Linked DNA regions of Mus musculus. The protein of the gene in region 2 purifies or fractionates together with the protein of the main gene of each other region. This does not show direct contact. Links are inferred from orthologs where the notes say so. Each region holds a gene or a part of one and is shown on either strand. Other genes may lie near its edges.

Region 1 (3,648 bases), about 46 Mb from region 2:
GTAGTTTTCCTTCCCAAACCCGCCCTCCACTGGTCTTTCCTCGACCTTCTGGCTCTGCAGTCAGTTCTGCCATTGCTCATGTATTAGGGTGCCAGGTAGTTACAAGGACCCGAAACAGACAACCATCTAAAGACCATCCTCATAGCCCAGCCTAAAAAGATGGAGCAGTAGACTCACACCAAGAAGGGAGCAGGGCTAGTCTCCATGAAAAGTTCATCCTCATCCAACGACTACAGCCGCCTCTGCCCACATTAGCATAGTGTGCTTAGCTTGTAAAGGTGTGGTGCTGCATGTCTTTAGTCCCAGCACTTGGGAGACAAAGGCAGGCAGATCTCTGAGACTGAGGACAGACTGGTGTACAGAGTGAGTTCCAGGACAGCCAGGGCTACATAGAAAAACCCTGTCTTTAAAAAAACAAAAACAAAAACAAAAACAAAAACCGTGGGTGACCAAATCTAATAATGTCACAATAAAGCTAAGATGCTGGGGCTGGAGAGATTACCTTCACTCTTAATAATGTGTATTGCTCTTTCAGGACCTGATTCAGTGGTCAGCAGTCATGTTGGACCACTCACAACCACCTGTAACTCCAATGTCACAGGATCTGATACCCTCTTCTGACCTCCAAGGGCACACCTGCACTCATGTACACATACCTCAACACACACACAGACATAGACACAGACACACAGACATATACATAGACAAACTCACAGACACACACATGGATACATACACACATAGCCAGATATAGACAGACTGACACAGACAGACAGACACACACATGGATACTTAAACACACATAGCCAGACACAGACAGACAGACAGACACACACACACCCAAGAAACTTCCAAATGACCCTATGAATCAGGGTTTCCTGACACGAAAAGACAGAGAAACTGGGTAGGAGAAACTCCTAGTGACCTATTATGCATGTTTATGTCAGTGGGTTTGTTTTTATTCAAGTATGTCAGTGTGGTGGTTTAAATATATTGTTTGGCCCATGGGAAATAGCACTAATAGGAGGTGTGGCTTGTTGGTATAAGTGTATGTCACTGTGCAGGCCGGCTTTGAGGATTCCTAGTGCTCAAGTTCTGCCCAACTGTGGAACAGAGTCTCCTCCTGGCTGCCTTTGGATCAAGGTATAGAACTCTCAGTTCCTCCAGCACCCCACCATGATGATGATGTCTAAACCTCTGAAACTGTAAGCCAGCCCCAATTAAATGCTTGCTTTTATATTTATGAGAGTTGTCTTGGTCATGGTGTCTCATCACAAGAATGAAACCCTAACTAAGCTGTCTTATCTATGCATGGGCAGATTTTGACAAAGGCCTCACAAAGACTGTGAGCAACGGCATCTGAAGGGAGAGTAGCAGCTGTCTACTTCTTCCATCTTCCCATCACTCATCTCTGACTTTTCTGGGAGCCCTGGCAGGGTAGGAATCATTCACACCTACCTGGCTCTCTCCCAAACCAGGGTGCTGATGATGGGTGCGTCACACACGTGACAAGGCCCTTACTACTTCTGAAGACACACATCATTTGGAGAAGCCAGAGCTCGAGCTAAGCAAATCCCTCTACATTCTCATGTGTGCCTGTCACAAAGGACCCTGAACACTGACTGCCCTAGGTCCTGAGGCCTTGGGACAGGGCCCCAGGGGTTCGATACACCTGTTCCCCTGGGCTCTTGGGGTAATACTTTTCTCACAAGTTGAGATTTTCAAATTAAATATGACCTGCTTTATTTATTTATGTAATTTTTTTCTTGTTTTTTGTTTGTTTGTTTGTTTTTTTGCGACAGGGTCTTACTATGTAGTAAGACAGGCTTTTACTTGGCTATCTTGGAACTCACGGAGATCAACTTCCCTGTGCGCATTTCATTTCTCCAAAAAAAAAAGTAAAATAAAATAAACTTTGGGGCAGGGCAAAAGAACCAAAGATACAGCAAACTATACGTGGGGGCCAAAGACCAAGAGATAAGAATGAGCCCCGTTCAGTGCAGTCAGTTTGCATCCACACAGCTCCTGCAGGTGGTCTGCATCCAGCCCACTGCTGTGAAACAGACTTAATTGTAGGACCACTCATGCAACTGAGACTCTTAGAGTGGCGTTGTAAACGGGCCTGGCAAGCAGCTAAGCAGCAAGCCCTTCCACATTGCTGTCACCACCAGACCATCTCCAGCATCTTGCTTAGTCACTGCTTTGGGGGAAGAGCCCACCTTGCTCTGTTCCTGCCATCTACATCGGACCTGCTGTGTCTCCAGCACCCACTGTTTCTACAGTAGGCCTCAGACACTCTGGACTACCCCATCACCAGAGCAGAAATGGAGTGCCCGGGGATACCCCAGACACAGATGTCCATTACACTCACCTGTCCTTCCTCCGCTCCCCATGGGAAGAGGGGTTGACCGCAATCCTGGGTAAAGTGGAGGCTGTGGTCTGAGGCTGGCTACAGGAGGACAGGGTGTCGATATTCAGCGGGGACCGGGGAGGAGTGCTACATTCAGAATGTGACAGTGAGCCTGCCAAGAGAGAAGGGGTGCACGTGACTGACTGCCATCTAGACACAAGCTGTGTGGGTTTCATCCTATGACCGGGGCCCTGATGAAGGTCTCCACATTGCCTACTGTCCCCACAGCAACAGGTGAGGGCTAGGCTCAGTCATCTTTCAGCAGCCCACAGAGATGACTAGAAGGGGACCCAGGGGCAGCAGGCACAGGAGGGAACGCCCAGTTCTTACCTCTGTCAGAGCCCATGACAGACCGGGGATATCTTGGTGTTAGCGGGATCTTAATCCGCTCAGCCTTGAACTGCAGGTTACTGGAAGAGCCTGTTGTTCCAGGAGGAGACACGGTGTCAAGCCTCGGGACTAAACCACAGCCCTAGATCCTCACCTCCACTCAGCAGTAGGCACAATGAGTGACACACAGGGGCTGTTGAATATCCCTGAGGGAAATAATCAATGGAGGACTACAGAGAAGCAGATCCGGAATGTTCCAGAACAGGAGCACATGCCCCAAAATGCAACAGTCGCCTAGCTGCTGCAGCAGATGTTCCATCTTCTCTCTGAATCCCTAAAGACCTCTCCCAGGGTCTCTACCAGGCAACAGAACCCCACCCCACCCCCTCTGGGTTACATTTCCCCCAGCTCAGAAAACATTGATACGATGGACAGCTCACAGGATATCAGCCGTCCAGAGGAGGGAGCTGAGGGAAAGGAGTCACGTGGGCAGCCCACCCAGAGCCCTGGGTACTAAAACCCGAGCACCAGTGGTAGTTACCAAGGCGGGCACTGGAGGGCAGAGAGTTGGAACCCTGGGAGGCTCTCATCTCAGAGTAGTCACTGCAGGCCCTGTGGCTCAGGTCCAGGCTGAGGCGTCCCTGATGCTGGACACTGTGAGTGAATCAGAAAGATGAGGGGCCCTGTAGAAGGGCTAAGACCAGACATGACCACCAAGGAGAAACCCAGTAAACAGCCTGAACCTCCCTAAGGCAAAAGAGTAAAGTGTCCTTGCTGTTTGCCTAGGATAGCAGACTGACACCAGTTGCTTCTCACAGACAGCATCTATTCAGGACCCATCAGCGGCAGAGGGACCACACAAGGGGCAGTACGGGGGTTGGATGGACAGGGAGAACAAGACTTTGCCT
Region 2 (3,648 bases):
TGGTGGGGGTGTTGGCTATACATCTTTACTGATTCAGCATTGCCACTGAAGTCCCACGGGAGACCCTAAGGCCCCTCTCTCTGGCCAGCCATCTCCCTCCACAGGCTACATACCCACAAACCAGCCATCGTCACATTGCTGCATGACATCCACACGGTCCCCCTCTCGAAGTTCCAGCTCGTCCTCATTCTGGGGCCTGTACTGGTACATGGCCCGGTACCTGTGGGAAATGGCAGCATGGCAGCCAGAGGCCTCGGGCTCCTTCCCAGACCTGCTGGAAGTTCTGCAAAGAGCTGTCACTTCCAGTGCCCCGTTCCCATCACCTAAGCACCAAGAGACTAGCTCTACCTGGTAGTCTCTCCAACCTGTAGGTGAGGGGCAATGGTAGGACCCTGGATTAGTACTGCCTGCCAACAACTCCCTCCCAAGGCAAACCTCCCCAGCTGGTACTCACGGAGTCCAGTGTATCTCTGTGTTTGGGGAGGAGGGTCCCAGGTTTATGGGACGGCTGGTGGCTCGAGGATGGGACAGGGTTGGTCCAGGGGTATTGAGACTCTGGGGGTTCACGGGAAGAAAGAAGGGGCATGAGGAGGAGGTATGAGGTAGACGTAGTAGCTAGGGGTCCCACAGTCTCAGGAGTTGTTTTCATGCTTTTTCATCAAGCTCCCAGGCCCAAGAGGGTGGATCTGACTAGCTCACTTCAGAGGCACTTGGATGTGGGCCCAGGTCCCAAGCAATGTGAATGGCTGGACTTCTGAGTTCCAGCAAGGACAAACCAGGCCTCAGCAGGAGCCAGGAGCAGTTGTACCTGCTCAGAGAGGCGTGCTGGGTGAACATGTGGACCCAGGGCCAAGAGCACAGTGAAGGGCTGCCAACCACTTCTGCTCAAACCTACCTCATTAGTCTCCCACTGTGGGAACTGTTAGCTTTTTGATACAGGGAGACTAAACCCAAAGAGTACAAGCTCTATGCCTGTGGGCCATATAGCATGCAAATACCAGAGCCCTGATACCTAGTGCTGTACCTTGCTGAAGATCTACACTGAAAAAGTGACATCTTGGAGGGTCAGGTCCCCTAGCTGGGCCTGCCCATGCCTCCCTCCCTGAGCTGGAGGATCAAAGATCAGAACAGCCTTAAGGAGGTTAAGGCCAAAGCAAGACAGAGCTAGGCTAAGTTCTGCCGAGCTTCCCGCTTCTCCGGAAGCTGTCCAGGAAGGATTACCAGTGTGGACCAGTCAGAGGATAGGAAGGCAGTGTGAGAAGCAGGCCACCTCACCTGGGTTTGGGATCTGGGCTCCTGGAGGGTGATGGGGAAGGGAAAGGCGGAGCGTCGAGGGGAGGTTCGACCTCCCCAGTCAGTGGGGTCCACAGGTATTGAGGAGGGGTGGGAGTGGCTGCTTAGGTGAGCAGTGGTTGTCGGGTTAGGTGATGCAGGGAGCTGGGGACCATCATCACAAAGCCTGAGCCGGGGCTCTCGGTTTATCTGCACGTAGCTGGCAGGGAAGATGCCCTGGCGTCCAGTGCCAGTGATGCGCCCCTCATACCAATGTTCGTTCACCTTGCGGATCAGGCAGATGCGTTCTCCCTGAGGGGTCAGAGAGAAGTTCTTGTCAGTAGGGGTTTCCTGAGCATCACACACCTGAGGGTGGCTCACCCAGGTCACTTCATTCAAGCCTAACACTTTAACATGTATGAGAGATCAGGCTCAGAAAGGGTCAGCAGGTTATCTAAGCTAAAAAGAGAGGAGTCAGGAACAAGTAGAAGATTAACTCGCCCCATAGCAGGCAGCATTTGGATTTGGATCAGCTTTTTCCCCCCTGGCAAAGCCCACAACACTATCAATCCCTACCGACAATCGCTAATTACAAACCCCAATTACAATTCCCCAGTGCCAAGTCCAAGCTATGTGGCCTTGGGCAAGCTGCTCTGCCCCTCTAAGCTTGGTTTCCTTAAATGGGAAGACCAAACACTGTGTTGAGACCCAGAATCCAGCGTGGTCTTTTACATAGCAATGGACAGATCGTAGCATGGCGTCACAACTCAGTCCTGCCCTGACACACGTGTCCTGTGACCCTCTCCCAGGGCAGGCGGCCTTCTCAGGACAAGCTGATAGAGGTTGGCACAGAAGTGCCAGCATGTCAGCAGGCTACTCTAAGAAGGATGTCCCCACCCCACACTGTCCTGTCCTCTCCTTCCCAGCCACCCACCACCCCTTTTCTGCATATCTGTGGACCCAGTCTTTCCTAGGGTTACTCACTAGGCCTCCAACCCCAATTCAATCAAAGGAAGGCCAGTTCCTCATCGCACAGAAACTTTTCATACTTTACCATAATCTATAGCCCCAAACATGCTTGTGAGTAACATCCCAGAACCCACATACACACATGCATACATGTATGTACACACGTAGGGCCTCATGTTTGATACAGAGCCCTTTGCACACAAAACTTATTTCTAGTCCTTTTAAAATGTAGATTACGATCATCAACCAGGTGATTAAAGACACAACGGTAGGGTCAAGCCTGATGGCTCATACCATACTGTAATCCTAGTATTTGAGCAGCTGAGGTAGGAGGACTACGGCGAATTCCAGGCCGTCATGGCCTACACAGTGAATTCTAGGCCAGCCTGAATGACAGAGCAAGACATTGTTCATAACATTCTTTCAAAAGTAGAACATGTTGGCCAAGCCATGCAACAGGCCTATAACTCCAGCTATTTGAGAGGCTAAGGCAAGACTATCACAAGGTCAAGGCCTTGCGGCTGGAAAGATGCTCAGTAGTTAAGAGTATCTGGTGTTCTTGCAAAGGACCAGGAAGTCCATTCCCAGCACTCATATAGAGGCTCACAACCATCTGTTAACTTTTATTTCAGGGGCTTGGGGCTTACATCTGGCCTCCATAGGCACTGCATACATGTGGTACGTACATACATACACACAAGCAAAATACTCATTCGTGTTTTTAAAAAACGGTTCAAGGCCAGCCTGGACTATACAGTGAGTTCTAGGCCAGCCTGGGCTACAGAATGAGTTCAAGGCCAGCCTGGGTAACTTAGCAAGAGCCCCCCCCCCAACATTAAAAATAAAATGCTGTAATAGAGCACTTGCCCTGTGTGACAGGGACCCTTGGTTCAGTCACAAGTACTGGGGTTAAAGAATAAAAGATTGGGGGTAACCTATCCCGAGAAACTGGAAAAAAACTAAAATTCTGGGTACAGTTGACATTTTAAAAAAATATTCATTTCTTTCTGCAGGCTCCCCTTCGCCTTCCCCTGCCCCACTCTACCATGCCCTGACTGGCCTCACCTTTCGGAAGGACAGTTCTACCTCCAGGTCTCCCTTGAAGGTATACTGGGCTACTGCATCGCCATACTCCAGCACCTGGTATGTGGGCGGCTTGATGGGCTTGGGAATCTCATCGGCAGGCAGAACCTGAAGGGATGGTGTGAGCAAAGTTCAGACCAGGTAGCAATGGATACACACCCACACTCCCAGAAGAGGGAGCCATGCAGAGGACAACGTGGACAAGGCTGTCCCTGGTCAGATGTCACATCTACACACTGACCAGATACAGCCTAGCGGGTGGCAGTGTGAGTATTGGCAGGCACGGGTGAGAGGGGTCATCCAAGAAGGCTTCCTGGAGGAAGA
Region 3 (3,748 bases), on a different chromosome or scaffold from region 2:
AAACAAAACAAAACAAACAAAAAAACCCTCTGAGCAAAGCCTATTAGGATTATTCCATAACACCAATTTTACATTGCTCTCTATTAAGCCAAAGGCTTCATATTTTACAGTAATTTTCACAAGAAAGCAACAACAATGTGGTTTTAAGTTACTGCAATTCAAAAGGTAAAGTTGATTAATAATATATGATGTAAAGAAATTGAGCACTGACTACTTGTAACCATTTCAGTAACCCACTTATGCTTACAGTGAGCCGTGTTATCTTTGTCTATCGAAATATACTCCCACATCTGTCATTTCCTTGAAACCCTGGGTAAACACTACAGTAAGCTCTGAGCAACGCATATACTAGAACACAAATGAATGTCTGCCATGCCTGAAGTTCACGGGCCTGGTATGTGAACACAGTGAGCTACTTAATGTTTGATAGACTGTACACTAAAGGTACTAGACCAGCAAAGATGACCTCTACCCTGCTTGCAGGCAGCTCATATTAAAATAAAAATAAAATAAAAAGATTTCCCTAAACTGAAAATTATGCAAAAATTAATGCTGCTTTAAGAAATTTACATTTTATTTCTATTAATTTTATGTAAAAAATGAAGTAGTTATTCCTTTAACACCACTTTGAGAGACAAATCAATAAGGGGAACAAAATCCTCACCAAACAACATGATGTAGTGGAAAGTACAAAGTAACTGGGCATATAGTTCCAGTTACATTCCTAAATTACTATGTGACTTGGGGCCAAGAGCTCCATTTTCTCATTTGTTTAAAGAACTATAGAGGACAGACTTGGTTCATCTTTAAAGTAAATTTTCTCCCAAACTCTTTTTCTTCTTTTTTTGAACCACTGTTTTCTACTTTAGTCAGTGAACGCAGTGTTCTTTAAAGTCTAAATTTTAGAACAAGAAATACATCTTAAGTCCGATGGAATGATTTGGTTTCCCAAAGTCGATATGAACAGTCAGATCATGAAGTTAACAATTAATCTGGTAACTTTCCAGAAACTGTCTCCTCTTAACTTCTTCAGCAGGTGTAGTCTGATTCTGACATCTCCAACATTGCCAAGGGAGGATATGAAATGGTTCAGCTCGGCTGAAACTTCTCTGGGTGTTTCCTGGGTTCCAGAGGCACAGGCTCTGTGAGAGCTAGCAAACACGGCAGAAAGGGAGCCGGCTAGCATTCCAACAATCCCCCTTTCAACTCAGTCACCTCAGGAAGATCAAGATAAGGCCTTCACCCAGAGAACCTCCCCACCCCAGAAAGGCCTGCAGCCAACGTAATGAATGCTTCCGTCAATAACACCCATTCCCCTTCCCACAGAACTGCTTGCTCCCAATCCGCCATCTGGGGTTGGAATGGGCCTCCTCACAGCACCAAACTCAGAACCACTTTTGATCCCAAAGGCCGTGAGCTATTAGAAACTGTCGCTTCCCTACGCATGGCTTGGGAGCGAACAGCACCCTACACCCCACCCCACAACGCCAGGGAGGAAAAGAAAAACCCACAGTGGGGCGGAGAGCAGAAACTAGGCCTAGTTTCTGCTGGAGAAATAAACCCCGTTTTTGTTTTTTTGTTTTTGTTTTTTGCAATTGGGAGCAGGCGCATTTCCTGCCCTTGCTCTGATCCTAAGTGTCCATGAACCTGCACTGCACTTTATTCTCTCCCGGAATCCTTAAGGCGGACCGAAAATCCAATTCGCTTCTTTCCCCATCTATTCATTCCTAAAACCTCTAGCATTGTTAAAGAAGATAACCCAGATCCAGAAGTGGGAAGTGAAGCAAGGGCCAATGCTGGGATCCTGTCCTGAGATCTTAAGCTGCTGATGCACGAACAAAATCCCCTTGTGGTCTAGAGTAAAGTTTGAACCTGCAGCAAGGGCACGGACCCGGCCCGGCCCGGCGGACCTGGGCTACTGGGCAGGCCTATGGAGGTGACACTCCCTTGTTCTCCAGCAGCTGGGGGAGGTGGCTCCGGGCCGGGCAGGCCTGCACCCGGAGAGCTGGGTGAGGGGAGCCCCAGGGCCCGGGAGGCTGGAGGCCTGGCCCGCAGCAGCACCCCAGCCGTGCCGAGCCTGCCCCCCTTCTCCCTCCTACCCTTGAGTCCCGTTCCCCCCCAGCCCGAACCCGCCAGTAGACGTTGGGGGGTGGCGACAGGGGGGTCTCGGCTACTGACCACACATTTCTTGCCGAGGAAGGAGAAGAGAGACTCGTTCTCTTGCGGGGTGAGCAGCAGGGAGCCCACGTTGGTGACCCTCCGCGGGGGCTGCTGGCCCGAGCTCATGGTGTCGCCGGTGGGGTGGAGCGTCCAGGGTCGTCACTTCTGGCGGCGGGCGAGCACTCGGGTCCCACTCTGGGTGACAGGGGCGCGAGCCGGCGGTCACAGCCGCAGCATCCCGTCGTCGCTCCTCCGGCGCGCGGAGGCCGAGGGAAGGAGATGACGGCGGGCGCCCTCGGGCCGCGCGCCGACAGGGAAGCTCCGGGCTCCCGCCCTGCTCAGCTCCGGCTGGATGGTCGTTGTCCTAGCACTCCGGCGGCTGCGCTAAACTCCCTACTCCTCCAGTCCTCTGGCGGCGGCGGCGGCAGCGGCGGCGGCGGCAGCCGCACAATCCAACATGGCAGCGGGGGCGGGCGAGACCACGGGACGCGGGACGCGGGGGAGAGCGCCGGAAACTCGGCAAGGCGGGACACCCCCTCGGTTGCTGCGTGCCGGGGCGTGTCCTACCCAGGCCCCGCCCCTTCCGGAAGCGGCAAGGCTCATCCCGGTTGAGGTCTTGTTGCAGGCTAGTCGCCCCCACCAATGACCACCGCGCGCGTGCGCAGACTCAGAGCGAGGCAGGGCTGGCGGGTCTCCTACACTGACTGCCGAGCCGGACGCCCCCTTGCAGCAGCGCCCACCTTTGCGGAGCGTCGGGTCCGCGTAGCCAGTGTTTGTTAGGCATCGAAGCGAGACTCTCAGGCCGCCTGTCAGGGAGATCTAGTTTAGCTGGAGAGAAAGGTCGGCCGGCGTAGTTTCGGTCAGAGCCGCAGGTGCCTCGGGTTTCTGGATCTTAGTCCCGGCCGCCAACGGGGCGTGGAGGGACATTGCTAAGATCAGGATAGACATCTTCAGAGATGTCAAAAACAGAATCGCAAAAGGCGTCCACCACCCGCCTGGCGGATCTCGTGGGATAGGTGTGTGTAGTTTTTTCCTTGCCTTGTGAATTGGAAACTACCCCTCTCAATCTTTCTCTATCTCAAGTTGGAAGCACCTTGTCTCTTTAATTCAGGATGAATGCACGCGTTTGGGAATGTCGTGTAGGAATACACCTTACCTCTTTTTTCCTTACGAGTTAATTTCATGGCTCTGTATTCTAGGTGCAGGGACCTAGGGCCTGGTGCATACTCAGCCAGCTGAGCAATATTCCCAGCAGAAGTAAATAATGAGAATTCATTACTGTGTTTCATAATATTAAAGGTTAGTATAAAATCATTGGTTGAAAACTAAAAAGCTTTAATTTAAAAAAATTGGAATATAGAGATGATAAACCAGATTACAGCGAATTCTATAAAATGTACATCCTACTATTAACATTAATCATACAACGTATCACATAAGTTGTACTAACGATGTTTGCTAATTACCTAGTTCTAATTAAACAGTTGCATATTCAACTTTTATGACAAACTCTGGTAAATTTCTGATAGCTCTCAATACATTGATAAACTATTACCGACGAACTGAAAACAAAGCTGTAAAGCTGCCT

What was found.
Region 1: the proteins of Sorbs3 (region 2) and Dlg5 purify together in Homo sapiens (co-immunoprecipitation; 3 studies listed by BioGRID and IntAct, with this or other methods). This does not show direct contact. The link is inferred for Mus musculus from reciprocal best matches to the Homo sapiens genes SORBS3 and DLG5.
Region 3: the proteins of Sorbs3 (region 2) and Wasl purify together in Homo sapiens (co-immunoprecipitation; 3 studies listed by BioGRID and IntAct, with this or other methods). This does not show direct contact. The link is inferred for Mus musculus from reciprocal best matches to the Homo sapiens genes SORBS3 and WASL.

Annotation. Positions count from the first base shown.
Region 1 is NC_000080.6:24,151,860-24,155,507, forward strand, and holds part of Dlg5 (disks large homolog 5), read right to left. Parts: intron 3,395-3,648; coding exon 3,282-3,394; intron 2,831-3,281; coding exon 2,741-2,830; intron 2,523-2,740; coding exon 2,372-2,522; intron 1-2,371. UniProt on the Homo sapiens protein: Acts as a regulator of the Hippo signaling pathway.
Region 2 is NC_000080.6:70,183,553-70,187,200, forward strand, and holds part of Sorbs3 (vinexin), read right to left. Parts: intron 3,433-3,648; coding exon 3,307-3,432; intron 1,585-3,306; coding exon 1,276-1,584; intron 556-1,275; coding exon 455-555; intron 221-454; coding exon 114-220; intron 1-113. UniProt on the Homo sapiens protein: Vinexin alpha isoform promotes up-regulation of actin stress fiber formation. Vinexin beta isoform plays a role in cell spreading and enhances the activation of JNK/SAPK in response to EGF stimulation by using its third SH3 domain.
Region 3 is NC_000072.6:24,662,358-24,666,105, forward strand, and holds the start of Wasl (neural Wiskott-Aldrich syndrome protein), read right to left. Parts: upstream 2,639-3,748; 5' UTR 2,287-2,638; coding exon 2,179-2,286; intron 1-2,178. UniProt on the Homo sapiens protein: Regulates actin polymerization by stimulating the actin-nucleating activity of the Arp2/3 complex. Involved in various processes, such as mitosis and cytokinesis, via its role in the regulation of actin polymerization.